Coturnix japonica: one gene and its partners. The protein of the gene in region 4 purifies or fractionates together with the protein of the main gene of each other region. This does not show direct contact. Links are inferred from orthologs where the notes say so. Each region holds a gene or a part of one and is shown on either strand. Other genes may lie near its edges.

Region 1 (5,501 bases), on a different chromosome or scaffold from region 4:
AGAACTGCTCGTCTCTACCCTCCCAGTCTCCCCCACACCCCGAGGCTGAGCATACCAGGAAACAAGCTTGACGAAGTTGTCATTCAGTGCAATGCCAGCACCCGCATCAAAGGTGGAAGAATGGCTGTCACCATTGAAGTCACAGGAGACAACCTGGAACAGAGGAAGAACCGTCAAGCACTCTTCCACCCAATAAGATGGTAACAGCCTGAACCAGAAGCGTCAAAAACATCACCCCAGCAAGGCTGCCACCATCAGAACAATGAGGCAAGTGACACCTACGTAGCAACTATTTACCTGGTCCTCTGTGTATCCTAGGATGCCCTTCAAGGGCCCCTCAGCAGCAGCCTTCACTACCCTCTTGATGTCATCATATTTGGCCTAAAAAAAGGCAGAAGTAAAGATGGTCAGGTCAAATCTCATCTCTAAGTGTCAGCTACAGCCCAGACACTGGGAACTGCATAGCACTAGCCATGCACATTAGGTGCTATTTTCAGCAAAACCAAGATTTTTCTATTAAATAGATTGATGTTGAAGGAAGTAATTTTAGAGGCAGGCCTGAAGATTCTTCAGTCTTGTCCACAGCACTTACTGGTTTCTCCAGACGGCAGGTCAGGTCAACAACAGAGACATTGGGGGTTGGCACACGGAAAGCCATTCCAGTAAGCTTCCTGCAAGAGATATGTCAGCAAAGAACAGTGTAAGCATGTTCTACCACAAAAGTGTTTGAGCCAGCCACACACTGGCTCCTGCCCCCCATCAGACACAGAAAGAGGACGCTCACCCATTGAGCTCAGGGATGACCTTCCCCACAGCCTTAGCAGCCCCAGTGGATGCTGGGATGATGTTCTGGGCAGCACCTCTGCCATCCCTCCACAACTTCCCAGAGGGGCCGTCCACAGTCTTCTGTGTGGCTGTGATGGCGTGCACAGTGGTCTGTGGAAAGAAGGCCCAGAAGTAAGAAAGCAGTCACTTTCCCCAGAGAAAGCACCCCCAGCACTTCCTCCCAAGCCCAATGGAAGCACTGTGTGTGAATGCTTTTTTCCCCCACACATGGAGGACCTGGGGGCAGGGTATCTTACTGAGCATCAAGCTCCAGACCTACCATAAGACCCTCCACAATGCCAAAGTTGTCATGGATGACCTTGGCCAATGGTGCCAGACAGTTGGTGGTGCATGAAGCATTGCTGGGGGAGAAAGAAGGCACATCAGCCAAGTACAACACATGTATATACGTGCAACAAGACCCGAAGAAAATTCCAGGCCAGGGAGCATTCTTCTCCCTTACCTAACAATTTTCAGGGACTTATCATATTTCTCATGGTTGACACCCATCACGAACATGGGAGCATCAGCTGAGGGGGCTGAGATAATAACACGCTTAGCACCACCCTTCAGATGAGCCTGAAAAACAAAAAAGGAAAGATTAAATTACCCAGAACGGCCCAACAGTTGAGAAGGAATACAATCCTCAGAGCACCTTTTCCCATGGGCCACAGCAGCCTACATACCCCAGCCTTCTCCATGGTGGTGAAGACACCAGTGGACTCCACAACATACTCAGCACCAGCATCTCCCCACTTGATGTTGCTGGGGTCACGCCTGAGAGGGGACAAAACCATGGGAGTTACTCTGGAGGGCACTTACTTTCATTCTCTGGAGCAGCGAGAGAAGAAAGCTACTCACTCCTGGAAGATAGTGATGGCGTTCCCATTGATCACAAGTTTCCCGTTCTCAGCCTTGACAGTGCCCTTGAAGTGTCCGTGTGTAGAATCATATTTGAACATGTAAACCTAGCAGGGAGAGAAAAGAGAAGGGTCAGGCATCCTAGATGCAAAGCTCCCACTACAATACCAGCCATCTTGTCTAACTGCTGCTCTGTATTTTGCTCTGCCCAGCTTTGCATCACTACATCTCATTTCTCTCTTAACCTATGCCAGGTTTCCAAGGGGAGCCCCGCTGAAGGTGCACGCATCGCCCAGAGGGGGCACTGCAAGACAACTCACCATGTAGTTCAGATCGATGAAGGGATCATTGATAGCAACCACTTGGACTTTGCCAGAAAGGACAGCAGCCCTGGTGACCAGGCGGCCAATACGGCCAAATCTGGGGAGAAACAGAGAGGTGGGTGAGGAGGAGCACTGAGGAACATGCTTGGTAAGGCACGGCTGAGCCTATCTGCTACTTCCCCCCAGAGCATCTGTCAGTCGCTGCCTGAATGGAATCCAACAGCAGCGGCCAAAGGCCGAGGAGCCGTGGTTAAAGATTAAGAGCGACCCCCGGGCAGGGCACCCACACCACAAAGGTCAGGCGCTAAATTTACTGAGGGCCCCGGGGATCCGGTTACTCCTCGGTGCGGTGGGAGAAGGTCACGTTCCCGGGGCACGGCCGACACACGATCCACCGGGCGACCTTTCCTCGGGTACCCACTGCCCCGGGGAGCCCCATTAGTGCGGGCAGAGCCCCCGACGGGGCACGCGGGCAGCACCGGCGCTTCCGGGGTGACTCACCCCGACCGTGCGGGGAAGTGACTCAGCACCGCCCCACGGGGCCGTTACTCCCGGTTGGGGGTTGGAGGATGGGGGGGTCTCTCCGCGGCGCCGCGGGGCCCCCCGCCCTTCAGGCGACCTTGTCTCGTGTCGTCCTCCCCCCCCCCACGGGCACGTACATCCCCGCCCGCCCCGCCCGGCGCCTCCCGTCCCGGCTCCGCACTCACTCACCCGTTGACTCCGACTTTCACCATCTCTCCCTTATAGTGTACCTGCGGGGACACGCCAACGCTCAGACGTGCGGTACCGCACGCAGCCCGCCCGCCCCATAACACCCCCCCACCGCACGCACCGGGAGCCGCCCCCCCACCCGCCATCCCTCCCTCCCTCCATCCCCACCGAGCTGTGCCCCCCGCACCTCTCCCCCCACCCCCACCGCCTCCATCTTACGCCGCCCGCCCCCGCCTTTGTGCCCCGGGCACCACGCGGTCCTGCACAGCCCCCTCCCCCCGCCGCACTCCTCGCGGTCCGACGGCCCCGACCCTACGAGGGGCTCAAGCAGACGGGAGGGCGGCCGGCTGGGTGGGTGGGTGGGTAGGGGTGGGGGGAGCCGTTCCTCCGCCCCCGTGCCCCCCGCCCGTTACCTGCTCCTAGTCAACGGCCCCGGCGCGCAGTGAGAAGGTGGCGCAGTGCCGCTCCGCCGCCCTTTATAGACACGGCGGCAGCACCCCGCGCCCCGCCCCGCCGGGCCGGCACCGAATGGCAGCGCGAGGGCCGGGCCGGGGCTACGTGCACGCACGGTGCGGGTGAAGCGGCAGCCCCCCCCCCGCTTCTCTCCCCCTCCCCCCTCGCAACAAAGGGCGGCCGTTGGGTCGAGGGTGGGCTCGGGGGGTTGGGGCCGCACTGCGGGGCTTGTACGGAGTGGGGGTGCCCTTCGGATGGGGGGTGCAGACAAAGCCCCGCGTCGGTGTCCTCGGGTGAGGCTGCGGGGTGCGGCTGCAGCACGATGCGGTGCGGCGGGTGCGGGCTGCATTAATGGCAGCACGCACGGCCGAGAGAGCGCCGTGCTGCGAGCCCGCAGCCTGCCCGCTGCCATAATCAGCCCTCGCACGTGTTGGTCACGCAGCCCCGGGCTGCCGGGGTCCCGCACCCGCTGTCACACCGGCGCTCTCAGGCCGCGCTAATAAGGAACTGCAGCATCTCTTGCGCCGTGACAGCGGATATCCTCATATCCTCCCGCCGCCTCGAGCCGCCGCCGTCCCTCTCCCAGCCCGGCACGTCTGCGCCTGGCAGCCGGGCCCGGGGTGTGGGCAAGAAGCGGTTCTTACGTGTTACGGCTGGGGCTCGTGCGGCCCAAAGAGGGGCCGTGGGATGGAGCCGTGCTGGGTTTATAGCCTCCATCCCCTGCGATGGAGCGGGTGCTCGAAGCCGGATGCCCGGCGGGAGGAGGGGGCGTGCAGGGGTGAGGTGGGCCCCGGCTCCAGCGGTGGGGACGGAGGATGCCGGGGGGAGAGGGTCCGAGCGGGGGGTCACGCAGCTCCCGTAACCCAACGCTCCTTGTACGGCTGCCATTCCCGGAGCACCGAGGGGCAGCGGCTAAGTTTAGCCCCGGCTTGAGGTTACGACCTTTTCTTAAAGGCCAGGGGAGGCGGCGGTGCGGCCCGAAGGGGGCTGCGATCGCGGGGCCGGGGGAGCCCCCCGCACGTCGCGGGGTCAGGGCCGGCAGGGAGAGCGGAGGCCCCTTGTTTGCTCGGCAAACACGGCAGCGGCCGAGGGGCAGAGTGTGGCGGGACGGAACAACGCTGCGGCCCCGGGGCGCAGATCGATGGACCCGCCGCCCATCCTCCCCCCAGCGCCGGGCTCGGGCCCAGGCCGCGGACGCGCGTGCGGCCCGGCCCACCCGGAATGGCGGCGGCGCCCAAAATGGCCCCGCGCGTGGGGGCCGCGTTGCCGTGCGGAGCCGCGGGCTCTGCCGCCATCTCCCGGCGGACGCGGGCGGGGAGAGGCACGGGGAGGGTATCGCGGCCCGGCCGCCCTTCGGTGCCGCCAGCTCCGACACGAGGCTCCGCACAGCTCGGTTTAATTCGCGAGTCCCCCGCGCGCCGCCGCTCCTCGCCCTGCCCGCGGGGCTGCGGCCGCTGCTGCCCCAGCCTGTCCCGTCCCGAGCTGGGTCTCGTCCCGGGCCGGCTCTCCACACGGCCGCTCTCTGCCTGCCAACGAGCGAGCCGCTGCCCGCTGTGCCGGCCCCTCGCTGCTGCCCCCTTCACCTCCAGCTTCTCCGGGCTAACAGCCCAACCCGCTGAAGGCCCCGATGCGGTCCATTTTCAGCCCAAAACAGCCCCGGGGCGCGGCCTTCCAGGCCCAGTCTCCAGACAGAGCTCGCTTGCGATCGGCGAGGGCCTTGCGCCACAGCAGGGGCTGTGCGGCTCGGGCCCGAGGCAGGAGGAGCGGCTGCGGCTCGGAGCTGGAGCTGGAGCCCTCCTTCATGTCCTCATCAGCCGGCAGGGATTCGGAATCCGAGGGCAGCAGGCGGGAAAGGAGCACCTGAGAGAGGGATAAATGGAGATGGGCGAGGGTGTAATGTCTGTGCTCTTATATCCCGACCCACTGTCCCACTCTTCGTCCCTCAGGCTCGGGCAGGACGTGAAATGGTGCCTGTGAAAGCCCTCTGCCTGTGACCTTGCATCCACACCAAGGACACCGATGGCCCGCAGCTACTCTGCCTGAGGTGATTTTGCTGCCCAAAGAACAGGAAGGAGTGCTGTGGGCATTGCTGTCTCTATTCCTTGCCCTTCTGCTATTGAATAGTTCTCTCCATACCTGGAAAATAACAGTCATCGGCCCTTAGTCCTTTTGGTGCAGCTGAGTGCTGCTGTGTGCTCACGGTGTTTTGTCGTGTTTCTTTTTTTCACAGAGGAACTGTTAGCATAAAGCAGTCAACTATCAGAATGGGCCTAAGGAAGGCGGGCCCTTCATCTGCTGGGAAGTCTCCATAGTTTGTGTGCAGGCAGG
Region 2 (4,009 bases), on a different chromosome or scaffold from region 4:
TATTTCCTACTCATGCAGCCCCTTAAAGCTGTCTGCAAATGCTATTGCCTCTCAAGGATTTTCTTTCCAGTCCTCCCCTTGACTGTTAGAAGTGCAACTTCATAATTAACAGCTTAATGCACTGGTCACAGTTTCTGGCAGGTCAAAGAAAAGAGAAGCCATGCTTGCCTCAAGTTACCCATCTCCTCTCTGTCTAGAAAGCAAAGTTTCCTGACAGCTACAGATGAATTACAAACAGTGCTTTTAACTGCTTCCAGACTCTTGTTTCTGTAAAGGTAACACGTTATTGGGCACAGACTGTGTGAGGCTGCGCTATGTATGTTCATTTAAGAATGTTCATTTCAGAATGTAACACAATCTGCCAAGACCTACCTGTTAGTTGAGGGAAAAGAGTTACACGTATACAAGTGGTGCATCCACAGGGGTCAGCCTTGTGGGTTGGCACTGGTGCAGGAGTCCTGGCAGCTTTCAGAAGGGGTGAACACAAATAGTCACCTTGTGTCATAAAAACAAAAGGTCAAGCCTACTATAAAGTTAAGATGCATAATGGATTGGAATAACATACACTTACCCTAGTTACTTCATGGACAAATAACTCTGAAATAATTTGTAGCAGTGTATATCTTTAAACTATTTGGAAGGGAGGGGGAGGTTCCTTATAGTATAAGTATATTTCACTCCAGCCCACTATATATATAAAAAAAATGTTCCTTGACATCTTTCTAAGAATGATGTGTTTTAATGCTTCCTTTCCTGACTGTGCTCCAAGTGGAGTAATAAATTTCTATTAGCCCTGAAGAACACATTCATTTACTTTTCTCAGCAGCAACTAAGCTGTGACTGTTCACAGAACAGCACCATACTGACGTTCCTGAAAGATGAAAGAAAACCCTGACCTTTGTGTCACAGGAATTAAAGTTTATTCAGTTTTCTTCATGCACATTAGGTATATGAGGACAAATACACACAGTAACGAGCTTTATTTTCAAAGAAGAAGATTTTACATTTGCTTTGTCTTGTGTACATCGTCAGAAAATGCTCTACAAAGCTTTGCTTGGATTACCCCTCTGGATTAAAAAAAGCAACAAAACACTGCCAACATTTAACCACCACCTTAACCAAAAGCCTCCCCTAGATAATAAAGAATCTGGCCAACATCAGTCCTGGTCTGTGGAAAAAAATGGCCTACCAACTTTGTAAGGTGATTGCTACCTCCTTCATACCAACATCAGCAACATAGTTGCCACCATCCAACTCATTTCTGCAAGTGGAATGAAGATACCTAATCAGAACAGACAGCATCCTTGGTTTCCATTTCCATAGAATAACTGAAAAAGCCCAATTACTCTCCTACACTGCTTGGACAGAAGAATGCTCATTCAAAGCTCTACGATGAAAAAAAGGCACTCTGATTTTCCTATGAGATACTGCTGAGAAAAAAACCAACAAAATTCAACTGCAGCAGATTCTGTTCTTCCCTGCTTCATAATGCTTGTTCTTGTTCAGATTGCACTCAAGTGTTTCTGACAGTCTCCTTAAAACCCTGTTGCTTTAACAATAGAGTGGCAACTGGCAGCCCTTCTCAAAAAGAGGCACAACAAGATCAATAGTAGGTTTGAGATCTTTATAGTCATGTAGGAGCATGGGAAGACTATATTTAAGATCTCAAACCTACTATTGGTCTTGTTACAGGTTACATACACTCTAAGATACACGGTGACACTGTAGCAAGCTGTATTTTAACAGAGTAACAAAGTACTATCCGCCTGCATTAACTGTAGCCACTGCGCCCCATTAAACCTCACTCAAGCACATGGCACCGTTAGACCTCCAATGCCTCGGTCTTCTTGAAGGAACACACCGCCCTCTAGTGAACTGTACCTTAATTGCACCTCAAGGATCTCGATCCTGCTACTCAAGGTTAAAAACCAATGCTGGCCTGCAGTTCAAGGCACACCAAGGCCTTGGTCTTGAAGCAGGAATTATGCAGTACTGAGTAAGACACGTCCCTCCTCTCCCCCCCACACACACACAAAAAAAGCCAAACTTGAGGTTATTTCTATTTTTTAAACACTTTAGGAGAAAAAAAATCTCAGGTTCACACAATAGGAGATGGTGAGAAGTTACCCTGGCAGTCTCAGTCACATTAAGTACACTTCACAATCTCCAATGCTCTGCAGTCCTCATTGCTATAAACTGCCTTATCTTTGTCTTCATTCCTAAGTGACAGTTGAACTGCAGCTGTCAGAAGAATAAAGCCACCATACAACTATTTGGTTACTCATCATCCTTTCTATACAAAACTTCTATTTCTCTTAAAGTGCTACAGCCCTGTGCTTCTCCCTGAAAGCCACCTCTCCTGCCAGATTAATTACAAGTAGCCAAAGATGCAACTCCACTTAAAATAGAGGAAAAGGCATTTCAGATATTTAAAGCCATGTAAATGTTAAGCCTAGACATATGGCAACTGTCAGCTCTCTCTTTGCTCTGGCACTAAATACCACAGCGCTGGAACAATCCTAAAAGCCAATTGATTAGCTTTTACTTTACCCATCAGTCAAATTTTACATTAACAAACTGGATTGCACTATGACTTTGAATTAATGACAGACATGGCCCAATTTTTGCAATTATTTTTATTCTAAATATATGAAGACTCAGATCTTGTTGAAAGCAGCTACATCCATTGATTGTACGTAATCTTCAAAAGCTGTTATTCTTTCTTCCAACATGTCTGTTCCAACTTTATCATCTTCAACAACACACTGAATCTGAAGCTTTTTGATACCGTAACCAACTGGTACTAGCTTGGCTGCAAAACAAAACAAAAAAGCATTACACACTCCTCACTTGAAAATGGAAAGATGTAAGCAGCTGATAGCATTAATGGAGTTGGCCTAAAAGGTGTTTCTTTGAATCTTAGCCTTGCTGCTGCCCTAGCAGCTTTCTGACTAAGCCCTTTTTAAATCATCACTCTTGTGAAATTATGCAAAGAACACCTATCAGTTTGCTATTTAGTGGGTGCTAGTCCACCAAACACCACACACGCACAGCTCACACTATACATACTCTATGTAACATGGCAGTTAACTCACTATTTTAGCTACCTACATTATCACAGATGGACAAACAGTAATCCTAAGGCTACTTATTCATACAGCACCCCAACAGATCACGTGATCACCCTTTTCCCCACTTAGAATTTTACTTACAAGACCCCCAGACCAAGCCATCTGCTTGAATGCTTCGAACACACTCCTCTAATTTGGCCATGTCTGTCTCATCATCCCAAGGTTTCACATCAAGCAAGATCGATGATTTGGCAACAACAGCTGGTTCTAAGGGAAAAAAAAGGAGGAAAGACACCATTAACAGCTAGGAAACTTTCAGGAACTCAAGAATATACTTACAAATAACTTCACACGACTTAAAAAAAAAAAAAACAAAAAAACCCCTCATAACTCAGTCCTCTTGTACCAACATGCATTTTTAAGGGGTCTGAAAATATATATCCTGATGTTTAAGATGTAGATGCCTGTTTTTGAAAAACACTTTGAAAAGAGAACATAAGCTAACATTGTTTGTTACGTAGAAAGTCCTTCTTAGAGGATCTGAGAAGGTGCTTAATACTACGTAACAGTTTGTCTTCCACAGAGGGAATACTGCAACTGCTACAGTCCTGAACAGTTTCAGGCCAGTAACTGTGGAGGGACCTGCATGCAAGAGCCTTTCCTCTCTTAACTCACCAACTACTGATCGGCCTCCTTAGGTCAGTCTGCTGGAGTTCTTACACAGATGTGTTTTATACTACTTTGCATCTGTTTTATTTCAAGAAAACCCTAGGGTTCTCTTTTTGTAGTGAAAAAGCTTGCTCCTTTGGTAAGACAAAAGGAGAATAGGCAGGACAAAAAGCATGCTAATGTTCAATGATTTGCTATAGGAAAGGTTAAGCTCACAGAACTCAAGTAAAGCAAACCACTTCTGCTTCATTCCAGTAAGTCTGTAATAG
Region 3 (4,169 bases), on a different chromosome or scaffold from region 4:
GCCCAGGCAAACCAAACACACTGCAAGCCTCCACCAAGAGCCTGAAGGTGGGGCTTCAGAGCTACAGAAGCACTGAGCACTTCTGTGACAGCACCTGCCCAGAGGGACTGACTGGCTCAACATCTGCTTAGACCTGTCAGACTGTAATCCTTAATGGAAACACCAGTAGAAAAATCTACGATTCGTTTGTTTCTCAACAGCAACAAAGCACAAAGGTTTCCTCAGGACCTGCAGCTGAACAGGCCTTGCACTCAGCTCAGAGTCCAGCAGGGAGTGAAGGGATCAACATCCCCAAGTGCCATCCAGCCTCATGCAGTGCAGGGCCTGTGCCCCGTGTCAGGTGAGCAAGGAAAGACCTTTCAAGAGGAGGACCCCTTCCTAGACAGAATGCACACTTGTGTTTCTATTCTTCATTGCATGGGTGCCTCCACTTCTCCAGCCTCACTCCTCCCCTGGAGGGAGGAAAGCACTGCTACCAAACACAGTTGCTCCCTCCTGCTGAAGGGGCACCCACAGCCATTCACTCACCATGATGTTTCCCATTGGACCGCTTTCTCCTTCCCCATACGTGGAGATGATGACGTTCACGTTCTCCACAATCCTCTGGAAGGTCTGGTACAGCTCCTCAGGATCCAGCTGCAGCTCCAGCAGTGCCCGGTCCATCTTGTTCATCATCAGGACAGGTTTGATCCTCTCAGCGATGGCCTGACGCAGCACAGTCTCTGTCTGCACACACACACCTGCCCAACACAGGACAATTAGTTCTCCTCACCTTCAGATCAACCCAACTCAGGTTGCAGTCACACATGGCTGCAAAAACCTCACCAGAGACGCAGTCGACAACAACCAGGGCACCATCAGTGACACGCAGAGCAGCAGTGACCTCCGAGGAGAAATCCACGTGCCCAGGAGAGTCAATCAGGTTGATCAAGAAACCAGAACCATCCTTGCTCTGCTTGATGAATGCCAGATCGTTGTCAGAGAGCTCATAGAACAGAGAAATAGCTCTGAAAGGGAAAAAGAGCTGTTAGTATCACCCCATTGCCCCTCTGCAACACTCTGAAGCAAAAGCAGTTAGAAACATTCTTGTATCCTTTACTATTTATTTTCAGACAGCTGCATCCAGCTTCCAGGGTTTCATGAACCACTGAATGGCCTGGGTTGAAAAGGACCCCAATGCTCATCCAGTTCCAACCCTCTGCTGTGTGTAGGGTCCCAGGCTGCCCACAGCCACATCCAGCCTGGCCCTGAATGCCTGCAGGGATGGGGCATCCACAGCCTCCTCGGGCAACCTGTTCCAGTGCATCACCCCCCACTGGGTGAAAAACATCCTCCTAAGATCCAACCTAAACCTCCCATAACAGGAAGAAATGATCATGAGAGGCGAGTGGGGAAGATGCTCAGGAGCATCCACAAAAACCTCTGCTTTTTATGCTTCCCTGAAATCATAACCCCCTGATATCGTGAGCTGCCAAATAGAGCGCACCTCCTCTCAGCTGCTTTTCCCACCAGCCTAAATCCCTTCTGGTCCCTCCCACCTCCTCAGCATCAGTCCATGGTGAGGCAGCTGGACCTGCAGGCAGTGACACTCCCAAGGAGGTCAGCTGCTCACCAGACAAACCTCACAGCCACCAGCGCCATTACACACAGCTGGTGCCAGAAACAGGAGGCCAAAGTCACACTGCAGGAGCACGTCAATCTCCCAGCAGCCATCAAGGTAACGCTCAGTGACTCACCACAGGGCAATCAATACTTGCCCCTTTGTTTAAGCAATCCACGCAGGGAAGAAAAATAAACCTAAACCTCTGAACAACAAGACAAGAGAAAGGCTGATGGGATCATCTTCATCTCAAGGTGAAACCAGGGTAGGATTCAAAGCACCCCCAGGGTCAGTCCGTGCGATGGGAACAGGGGGGCACCCGAAGGAGCAGCACTCACGTCGATTTGATGGTGATGCACCGTTCCTGCTCGTCCTTCCTGGTGTCAGTGAAGCGGGTCTCCCCCGCGCGGGCAGAGGCGATGATCCCAGCTTTACACACCAGGGAATCAGTCAGGGTCGACTTGCCGTGATCGACGTGTGCGATCACTGACATATTCCTGATGTTGGCCTTTTTGTCCATGATGGCCCGTATCTGATCTACCGTGAAGTTCACCTTGGAAAGAAAGGAAGAAGGGAGGAATGGGAGACGAGCTACGTAACAGCAAAGCTCCATTTCTTCCTACGTGGCGCTGTCAGGTTTAACCTCAAGGAATGAAGCACTGAGGGCACTGCAGAGCGCCGGGCCGGCACTGCAGCAGCCAGCGATGTGTCCTCAAACCCCCCCGCACTGACAGCGCTCAATGCACCGCAGCCCCCCCTCCATCCTCACCCCTCATTAATTAAAGGGGGAAACCGAGGAGCCGCAGCGTTACGTAATCGCTCCGGGAGCTGCCCGGCCCCCATCACAGCACCGGGAATTAAAGCCCTACGGGATACACGGAGCGCCGGGTTAACGGCGCCCCACCAGGCCCCGGCCCCACCCGTGTCCCCTCACAGCGGCCCGGGACGCAGCGCTAGGCCTCGCCCCGCAGCGGGACCCTCCCGGCCCTCCCGGAGCGGACATCCCCACCCGCACAGCCCACACGGGACCCGCTGAGCTCCATCCGAACGGCGGCGGGACGCGGGGCCTCACCATGGTGGCGGATGGAGGCGGATTCTCCGGGGCGGGGGGTTACAGCAATGGCGGCGGTGGCGGCGGCCCTGTCTCGCTGGCGAGCGCAGAGCGGGCGGAAGAGAACGCTGACGTCAACCGCCCCCCTTTTATAGGGCGGCGCCGGCCGGAAGGAGGAGCCTACGCGTGCGCGTGCGCAGATGCGACTATCTAGCACCCCCCGCTGCCGGCAGCTCTATGGTCGGGCGGTCAGGTCCTCCGAGGGCCGCAGTCAGGATCCACGCGGTCCCCGCTCAGAACCCGCAGCGGAAACAACGCGGTCACAGCGGGTACAACCCGGACAACGTGCCCGGGGCGCTGCTCAAGGCCTCGAGAGCGGCTCCGCCTTTACCCGGAGCGCTGGGCCGTCCAAAGCGGCACCGGGCCGGGCTGGGCGAGCACCGCCCATAGCGGCGTCTATGGACTAGGTGCGCATGCACCGGCCGGAACTGCGGAGGGCATGGAGCTCACTAGCGCCCCCTGCAGGCCGGGAGGAGCGGGGGTGGGCAGGGGGCTGCAATGGAGGCACGGGATGGAAGTAGTGTGATGTCTGTGTTATGGAGCGCAAATATCAGCTCGAAAACTGGAGGTCTTCTATTGAGACATCAATAGATTCCTCTATCTATAGAGCCCTCTGATCCCTCTATCAATAGATGGGTTTTGAGTGATGTTTTCTAGTTGATGAGCCTCACTGCAACTTAGGGACACGCTGCTGGCCCCATTGTGTTATTGTTATTATTAGGATTAGGACCCCATTATTATTGTTATTAGGATTGTATTCAGAGAGACTGACAACACAGCACCCAACCTGACACCCCAGCCATACGTAAGGAACTCAGGACACTGGTAAGCCAGTCCGAGCACACTGTCTGTGATGTCAATTAGGCTGAAAGGCAGCCAGGCAGGTATCCCCATCACCGGCTCCCATAGGCTAAATACATTACAAATATCACCATGCTCAGAAGCTGGGACTATAAGCACATATAGGCATATAATGACCCTCAGTCCTAACCCGTCCCCTTCCCTCTCCCCGTACCCATGTAAGGCAGCCCACAGGTAAAGAAAAGAAAGCAGGAGAGCTGTCATTAGCTCTGCTGTCCTCCCTCCATCCCCGCATCCTCCATCCTCTCCGTCCCGTTTTAGGGGCGCGGTCCCTTTAAGACCCCCGGAAGGCGGAGCGGGGCGGGGTGGCTCTATTGCGCCTGCGCGTTGCGGCGGCGGCCTCCGAGGTGAGGAACTCGAAATTGATTGGTCGACGCGTCTCCCGCGCGCCCCTCCCCTCGCCGCTAGGCGTCACGTGACCCGGCGGCGGCTCCCGGCGCGGTGGACGCTGGAGGCCAAGATGGCGGCGGAGCTGGTGGAGGCCAAAGTGAGTGAACGGCGGCGGCGGAGGCGGCTCGGAGAGACCGGGCCGGGCGGGAGCGGGATGAGGGCTCAGCTGCCGCCCCTCACAGCGCGGAACCGGCGGCGGGCGGGGCG
Region 4 (5,363 bases):
TAAGCACTGCTTCAAAGCCTGAATGATGGGGCATTCTGGAGATCTTATATCTGCTGCTTCATCAGCTTTTCATATCAAAGAGATTCGTTTTGCCATATTAGCAACATTTTTAATTCCTTCGAGGTTATTTGCATACGGGCTTTTGGCCTGTGTTAGCTGAGAGGATAGTTCAGAAGGCATTCGCACCGAACAATGTGAGGATACTCACATATCTGAAGGTCCCCAGCTGTATAAATATTTACAGGATTGATAATAGGAATGTTCTGCTAATAGAATGGAGGAAAGATGCGCCAGTTATCGAGAGAATAAAAGCATCTATTTGATTGTAGAGGAAATGGTAAAAACTCCTTTGAAAATCCAATTAAAGAAGCACGGGGAAAGGAACGACTGCTGAAGACTTAACTAGGGCATGGTTAGAAGGTTATCCAACAACTCGGCAGGCTTTCAGCTGTGAATATACCAACGAAACTGCTGTCCTAAGAAATGCATGCTTCCATATGCCTTTATTTATGGAAGCCTTTTAAATACATCCCATAACTGTGCAGTTTCTTATGGGCCGCGTAAGAAATCAGTAACACATTTCCTTTCTCCTCCCCCTGCTGAGGTGCAAGTGGCTGAATGTTTTCAACTATGCTTTAGCAGAACAGATACTTGGACAAACTTATCCATCTAAAAACACCCCCACTGACAGGCATTGCAGAAGCTAAACTAGAAACCATCCTGTAGAATAAAGCTTCGTGGACATGTTTACAGCCTTGGTTTTACAGATGTGGTGTGCTCAGCTTTCTTACTAGTTATTGACCCTTACTCCTCAGCCTGAGCCATGAAAAGTCACTTAATGAAGATGCTGGTACTCTGCCTTCATAGCAAATGCCTTCAGTGATTTAACACCTAGATGTGAGCTATAGTTATATATTGGTGGGTATGGCCCGCGGTGCTGGAGTTCAAGGAGCATTTGGATGCTGCTCTCAGACGTGTGGAGCCAGGAGTGGGACGCGGTGATCCCTGGGGCTGCCTTCCAACTCAGCATGTTCTGTGGAGCCCCTGCCAACAATTGAATGGGATTACAGTTGAGTACACGTAAGTAACTGTAACATGGGTGCATTACATTCTCTTAGAAGAAGAAAACAGATCCTTTTAACCCAGACTGCCCAGGGAGGTTGTGGATGCCCCGTCCTTGGAGGTGTTCAAGGCCAGGATGGATGGGGCCCTGGGCAACCTGATCTAGTAAATGTGTATGTTTGGTGGCCCTGCCAGGCAGGGGGTGATCCTTGAGGTCCCTTCCAAACCAGGTCGTTCTGTGATTAAAGGAATAAAGTATTTGTTTCCCTTCTGGGGTTAATTTCCCACTAGAAAGCCATACAGGTGTTTTACACGAGTACACCCTGCTGGAATCACGAGGGCTTTCAGTGCTGGTGCCCCCGTTTCAGAAGCCAAAGGCTGGGGCTGCCAGCACCTTTGGTGACTCTCATGGGGCACCTGTCAGCCGGGAATGTACGGCATGGGGGCACTCGGGGCAGTTTGGAGCTCTCAAGCAGAAGCCCCGAATTGATGCTGAAGCGAATCTCCTTGGCCCTGTGTGAAACGCGAGGCCACCGGGGATCTCTGCTAGTCTGCAAGTTCCCACCCCGCAGCTCGCTGTCCGCGTCCCCTCGGGCCGCAGTCTCGGGCCTGAGGCGGAGCTCGGCGACTCTATGGCTGCCGTGCCGAGGGGGAGGCGGCGGAGCGGCACCTCCATCCCGGCTGGCCGCGCTCCAGGCGATGCCGTTCAGCATTGGGGCAGCGAGTCCCGACCGGCCGCCACTCGGCCCGGCTCCCCCGGGGCTGGGATCCGCACCCCGCCCCTCCCCGCCGCCCCCAGGGGAGCACGGCGTGCGGCGCTGCCGGGCGGGGCTTAGCGCGGGGCTTAGCGCTGGGCCCGCCGGGAGCCGTGACGCGGCGCCGAGGCCCCGCCCCGTGGCAGGGTATATAAGGGGCGGCGCTCACGCCGTCGTTCTTTTCCGCTCCGGGTTTGCCGACGCCGTGCGGGTGAGGAGCGTGCGGCGGGGCGGGCCGGGCCCGGGGGTGGGGGGAGCGGGGATGCTGGGGGTGCGTGGATGTACCGTGAGCGGGGGGTTGAGGCGCCGCCGTGCAGCGGTGCGTGGGGATGGCGGAGCGGGGGGATGGCGAGATAAGGGGCGGATGGGGGAAGCGGGGCGAGCGGCGGCGTAACGCCGACGTGTCCCATCCGAGGGCTCACGCGAGGCAGCGCCGCGATGAGCACATGGGGCCGCACCGCCGCTTCGGCTTCTTGCGGAGCCGCCTGGCGCTGCTGTGCGGCGTGCGGTGCTCGGCCGTACGCGGGTGGCGGCCGGGGATGGCGGGGCCGCGCCGTCGGTGTGGGCGATGGGGGAAGGGAAGGCCGGGGCACGAGAAAAAAAATGGCCGCCCGCTCTTCCTGCCGCCGTCAGCTCACAAAATGGAGGACGGCGGCCCGGGCGGGGTGAGTCACACACAAAGGAGAGGGGCGGCCCCGCCCTCCGCGCCGCCCCGCGCCGCCGCCCCAGCACGGCCCGGCCCGGCCGCCATGCGGGGAGGGGGCGACGGAGGAGGGGGGCGAGCCGGAGGGGACACGGGCCGCCAACACCGCCCGCCTCTCCCCGCTGCTCGACTCCCCCCTCCCATCCCCCGGTGGGGCGGGGCCGAGCCTACACGGGCCCTCTGCCCCCTGCGGGCGGCGCTGCTGCGGGACGGGGGCGGCCGCTGTAACCGGGATTCCTTCTGGAACTTTCAGGTGTCGTTTCTCTTTGGCCGGAAGAAAGAAGCTAAAGACCATCCGAAATGGGAAAGGAGAAGACTCACATTAACATCGTCGTCATCGGCCACGTCGATTCCGGCAAGTCCACCACCACCGGGCACCTCATCTACAAATGTGGTGGCATCGACAAGAGGACCATCGAGAAGTTCGAGAAGGAGGCGGCCGAGGTGTGTGAGGCAGCCGTGTGGTGGGAGACTGGGGGGAATAAGGGGCAAAAGGAAGGAAACCAGAACGTTTTACTACCACAAGGAGGCGGTTGGGTCGAGATTGTCCTGGTAATTGAACTAGAGTACTCAATCTGTTATGTTAAGGTGAAGTCATCGAAGCATAGAATAAAGAGCATGAAGCTAAATCTGAACGCTTAGAATCAAAATGGGAGCTCCCATCTTCATTCTCGGCCTGGATTGAGAATTACAGAATCGTTAATGTTGGAGAAGACCTTGAAACTCCAACTATCAGCCCATCCCCACCATGGCCACTAACCATGTCCCTCAGTGCCACGTCAGCAGGTTTCTTGGACACTTCAAGGGTAGTGACTCCACCATCTCTGTGCACAGCCTGTTTCAATGCATTGCTGCTCTTATGGAGTAGGAATTACTCCTAATATCCAATCTGGACCTCCCCTGGCACAGCTTTAGACTGTTGTCTCATGTCATCTTGTAGTTTAGTTGAAAATGTAATGATCAGCCTTGTCTCAAGGTGGGAGAGTCTAAGGTACCATTATGTGAACCTGTGGAAGTATTCCAGTTTTCCTTTGTTTTGTTTTAGTGATAAAATAGCACCTCGTAAGCACATGATAAAAGGAAATGCAGTGAATGCTGGGCTGTGTGGCTGTTAAAATACCAACTGGAGCAGGGATGGCATTAGTAACTAAGCTAAAATTTGTAGTGGACACTTGATAGTAGGACTAAGCCTTAAGAGATCCATCATAAAGATGTGTTAGCACAATTAACAAGTTGTCAAGAGGGCTGAAGTGTCAGCAGGTTAAATGACAGAGCAGTTGGCATATCTTGGTAGTAGTGCCAAGTGAACCTAGGCCAGAGTTTTATGAGCAACAGCAGCTTTCAGTGTAAGTCACTCCCTATTAATAACTTTGCTCGTTAGTGTGTATTTCATGGTCTTGGTGAGGTAAATGAAAATATATATCTTGAGGGGTTTTTTTTTCCTGTTTCAAACCCATAGATGGGCAAAGGTTCCTTCAAATACGCCTGGGTCTTGGACAAGCTCAAGGCTGAGCGTGAGCGTGGTATCACTATTGATATTTCCCTGTGGAAATTTGAAACAAGCAAGTACTACGTCACCATCATCGACGCTCCTGGACACAGAGACTTCATTAAGAACATGATCACTGGAACTTCTCAGGTAAGGAAATAAAGGATGTGGGGAGTTGAGGGAAGCTGCTCCTTGGCTGGTTTACAGCAGGGAAATTGCCCATGTGCTTTAGTGTGCGTGTAGGCTTTCTAACAAGGGCTTTTTTCTACCTTTTCAAAGGCTGATTGTGCTGTCCTGATTGTTGCTGCTGGTGTTGGTGAGTTCGAGGCCGGTATTTCCAAGAACGGGCAGACCCGCGAGCACGCTCTTCTGGCCTACACCCTGGGTGTGAAACAGCTGATCGTTGGTGTTAACAAGATGGATTCCACTGAGCCCGCTTACAGCCAGAAGAGATACGAAGAGATCGTCAAGGAAGTCAGCACTTACATCAAGAAAATTGGCTACAACCCAGACACTGTAGCTTTTGTGCCAATCTCTGGTTGGAACGGGGACAACATGCTGGAGCCCAGCTCTAACGTAGGTTTCCCTGTTTTCCTTTTTAATATTAGGAAATGGAACTAGCAGGATCATTAAGATAAGTTAAACAATAGTTAAATACGTGGGTTTGGGTTTTTTCAGTAGTAGTATTTTGAAATGTTGGGGTCAGTGTGAAATCCTAGTGCTTTATGAATTGTTATTCTGCAGTAATGAAGATGATGCAAGGAGTTAGGCCAGTTGTTTCATAGCTTCGTTCTATTAACATGGGCAGATGACTGACGGTTGGGGGCTGTTTTGTTACAGATGCCCTGGTTCAAGGGATGGAAGGTTACCCGCAAAGACGGCAATGCCAGTGGAACCACCCTCCTGGAAGCCTTGGACTGCATCCTGCCTCCAACTCGTCCAACTGACAAACCTCTGCGTCTGCCTCTTCAAGATGTCTACAAAATTGGTGGTATGTGTTCACCACAGTGCTTGTGTATGGGACAGAATTGCTAGTGTTTGCTTGGGAACTTGAGTGTGAAACTCCTGCCTGAAATGTTTTTCTCTGTAAGCATATACTGGACTTAACTGGCTTTCTGTGTTCACTTCTGTAGGCATTGGTACTGTACCAGTTGGCCGTGTGGAAACTGGTGTCCTGAAGCCAGGCATGGTTGTCACATTTGCCCCCGTTAATGTTACAACTGAAGTAAAATCTGTTGAGATGCACCATGAGGCCCTTAGCGAAGCTCTGCCTGGTGATAACGTTGGTTTCAACGTTAAGAACGTGTCTGTGAAAGATGTCCGCCGTGGTAACGTTGCTGGTGACAGCAAGAAT

Evidence for each region.
Region 1: the proteins of EEF1A1 (region 4) and GAPDH fractionate together in Homo sapiens (co-fractionation; 3 studies listed by BioGRID). This does not show direct contact. The link is inferred for Coturnix japonica from reciprocal best matches to the Homo sapiens genes EEF1A1 and GAPDH.
Region 2: the proteins of EEF1A1 (region 4) and EEF1B2 purify together in Homo sapiens (affinity purification with mass spectrometry; 3 studies listed by BioGRID and IntAct, counting the BioPlex papers as one, with this or other methods). This does not show direct contact. The link is inferred for Coturnix japonica from reciprocal best matches to the Homo sapiens genes EEF1A1 and EEF1B2.
Region 3: the proteins of EEF1A1 (region 4) and EEF2 fractionate together in Homo sapiens (co-fractionation; 3 studies listed by BioGRID). This does not show direct contact. The link is inferred for Coturnix japonica from reciprocal best matches to the Homo sapiens genes EEF1A1 and EEF2.

The regions. Positions count from the first base shown.
Region 1 is NC_029516.1:69,303,068-69,308,568, reverse strand, and holds the start of GAPDH (glyceraldehyde-3-phosphate dehydrogenase), read right to left. Parts: upstream 3,258-5,501; 5' UTR 3,134-3,257; intron 2,762-3,133; 5' UTR 2,744-2,761; coding exon 2,721-2,743; intron 2,107-2,720; coding exon 2,007-2,106; intron 1,794-2,006; coding exon 1,687-1,793; intron 1,603-1,686; coding exon 1,512-1,602; intron 1,405-1,511; coding exon 1,289-1,404; intron 1,188-1,288; coding exon 1,106-1,187; intron 937-1,105; coding exon 785-936; intron 672-784; coding exon 593-671; intron 382-592; coding exon 298-381; intron 154-297; coding exon 56-153; intron 1-55. Other genes in the region: C-type natriuretic peptide 2-like, read right to left, coding at 4,773-5,033, 5,310-5,327. UniProt on the Homo sapiens protein: Has both glyceraldehyde-3-phosphate dehydrogenase and nitrosylase activities, thereby playing a role in glycolysis and nuclear functions, respectively.
Region 2 is NC_029522.1:11,931,900-11,935,908, reverse strand, and holds the end of EEF1B2 (elongation factor 1-beta), read right to left. Parts: intron 3,710-4,009; exon of another isoform or gene 3,576-3,709; intron 3,339-3,575; coding exon 3,213-3,338; intron 2,813-3,212; coding exon 2,658-2,812; 3' UTR 966-2,657; downstream 1-965. UniProt on the Homo sapiens protein: Catalytic subunit of the guanine nucleotide exchange factor (GEF) (eEF1B subcomplex) of the eukaryotic elongation factor 1 complex (eEF1).
Region 3 is NC_029543.1:792,097-796,265, reverse strand, and holds the start of EEF2 (elongation factor 2), read right to left. Parts: upstream 2,801-4,169; 5' UTR 2,676-2,800; coding exon 2,673-2,675; intron 2,154-2,672; coding exon 1,939-2,153; intron 1,008-1,938; coding exon 826-1,007; intron 741-825; coding exon 529-740; intron 1-528. Other genes in the region: E3 SUMO-protein ligase PIAS4, read left to right, coding at 4,033-4,059. UniProt on the Homo sapiens protein: Catalyzes the GTP-dependent ribosomal translocation step during translation elongation.
Region 4 is NC_029518.1:74,352,197-74,357,559, forward strand, and holds the start of EEF1A1 (elongation factor 1-alpha 1), read left to right. Parts: upstream 1-1,899; 5' UTR 1,900-2,028; intron 2,029-2,773; 5' UTR 2,774-2,820; coding exon 2,821-2,964; intron 2,965-3,979; coding exon 3,980-4,159; intron 4,160-4,288; coding exon 4,289-4,585; intron 4,586-4,849; coding exon 4,850-5,000; intron 5,001-5,142; coding exon 5,143-5,363. UniProt on the Homo sapiens protein: Translation elongation factor that catalyzes the GTP-dependent binding of aminoacyl-tRNA (aa-tRNA) to the A-site of ribosomes during the elongation phase of protein synthesis.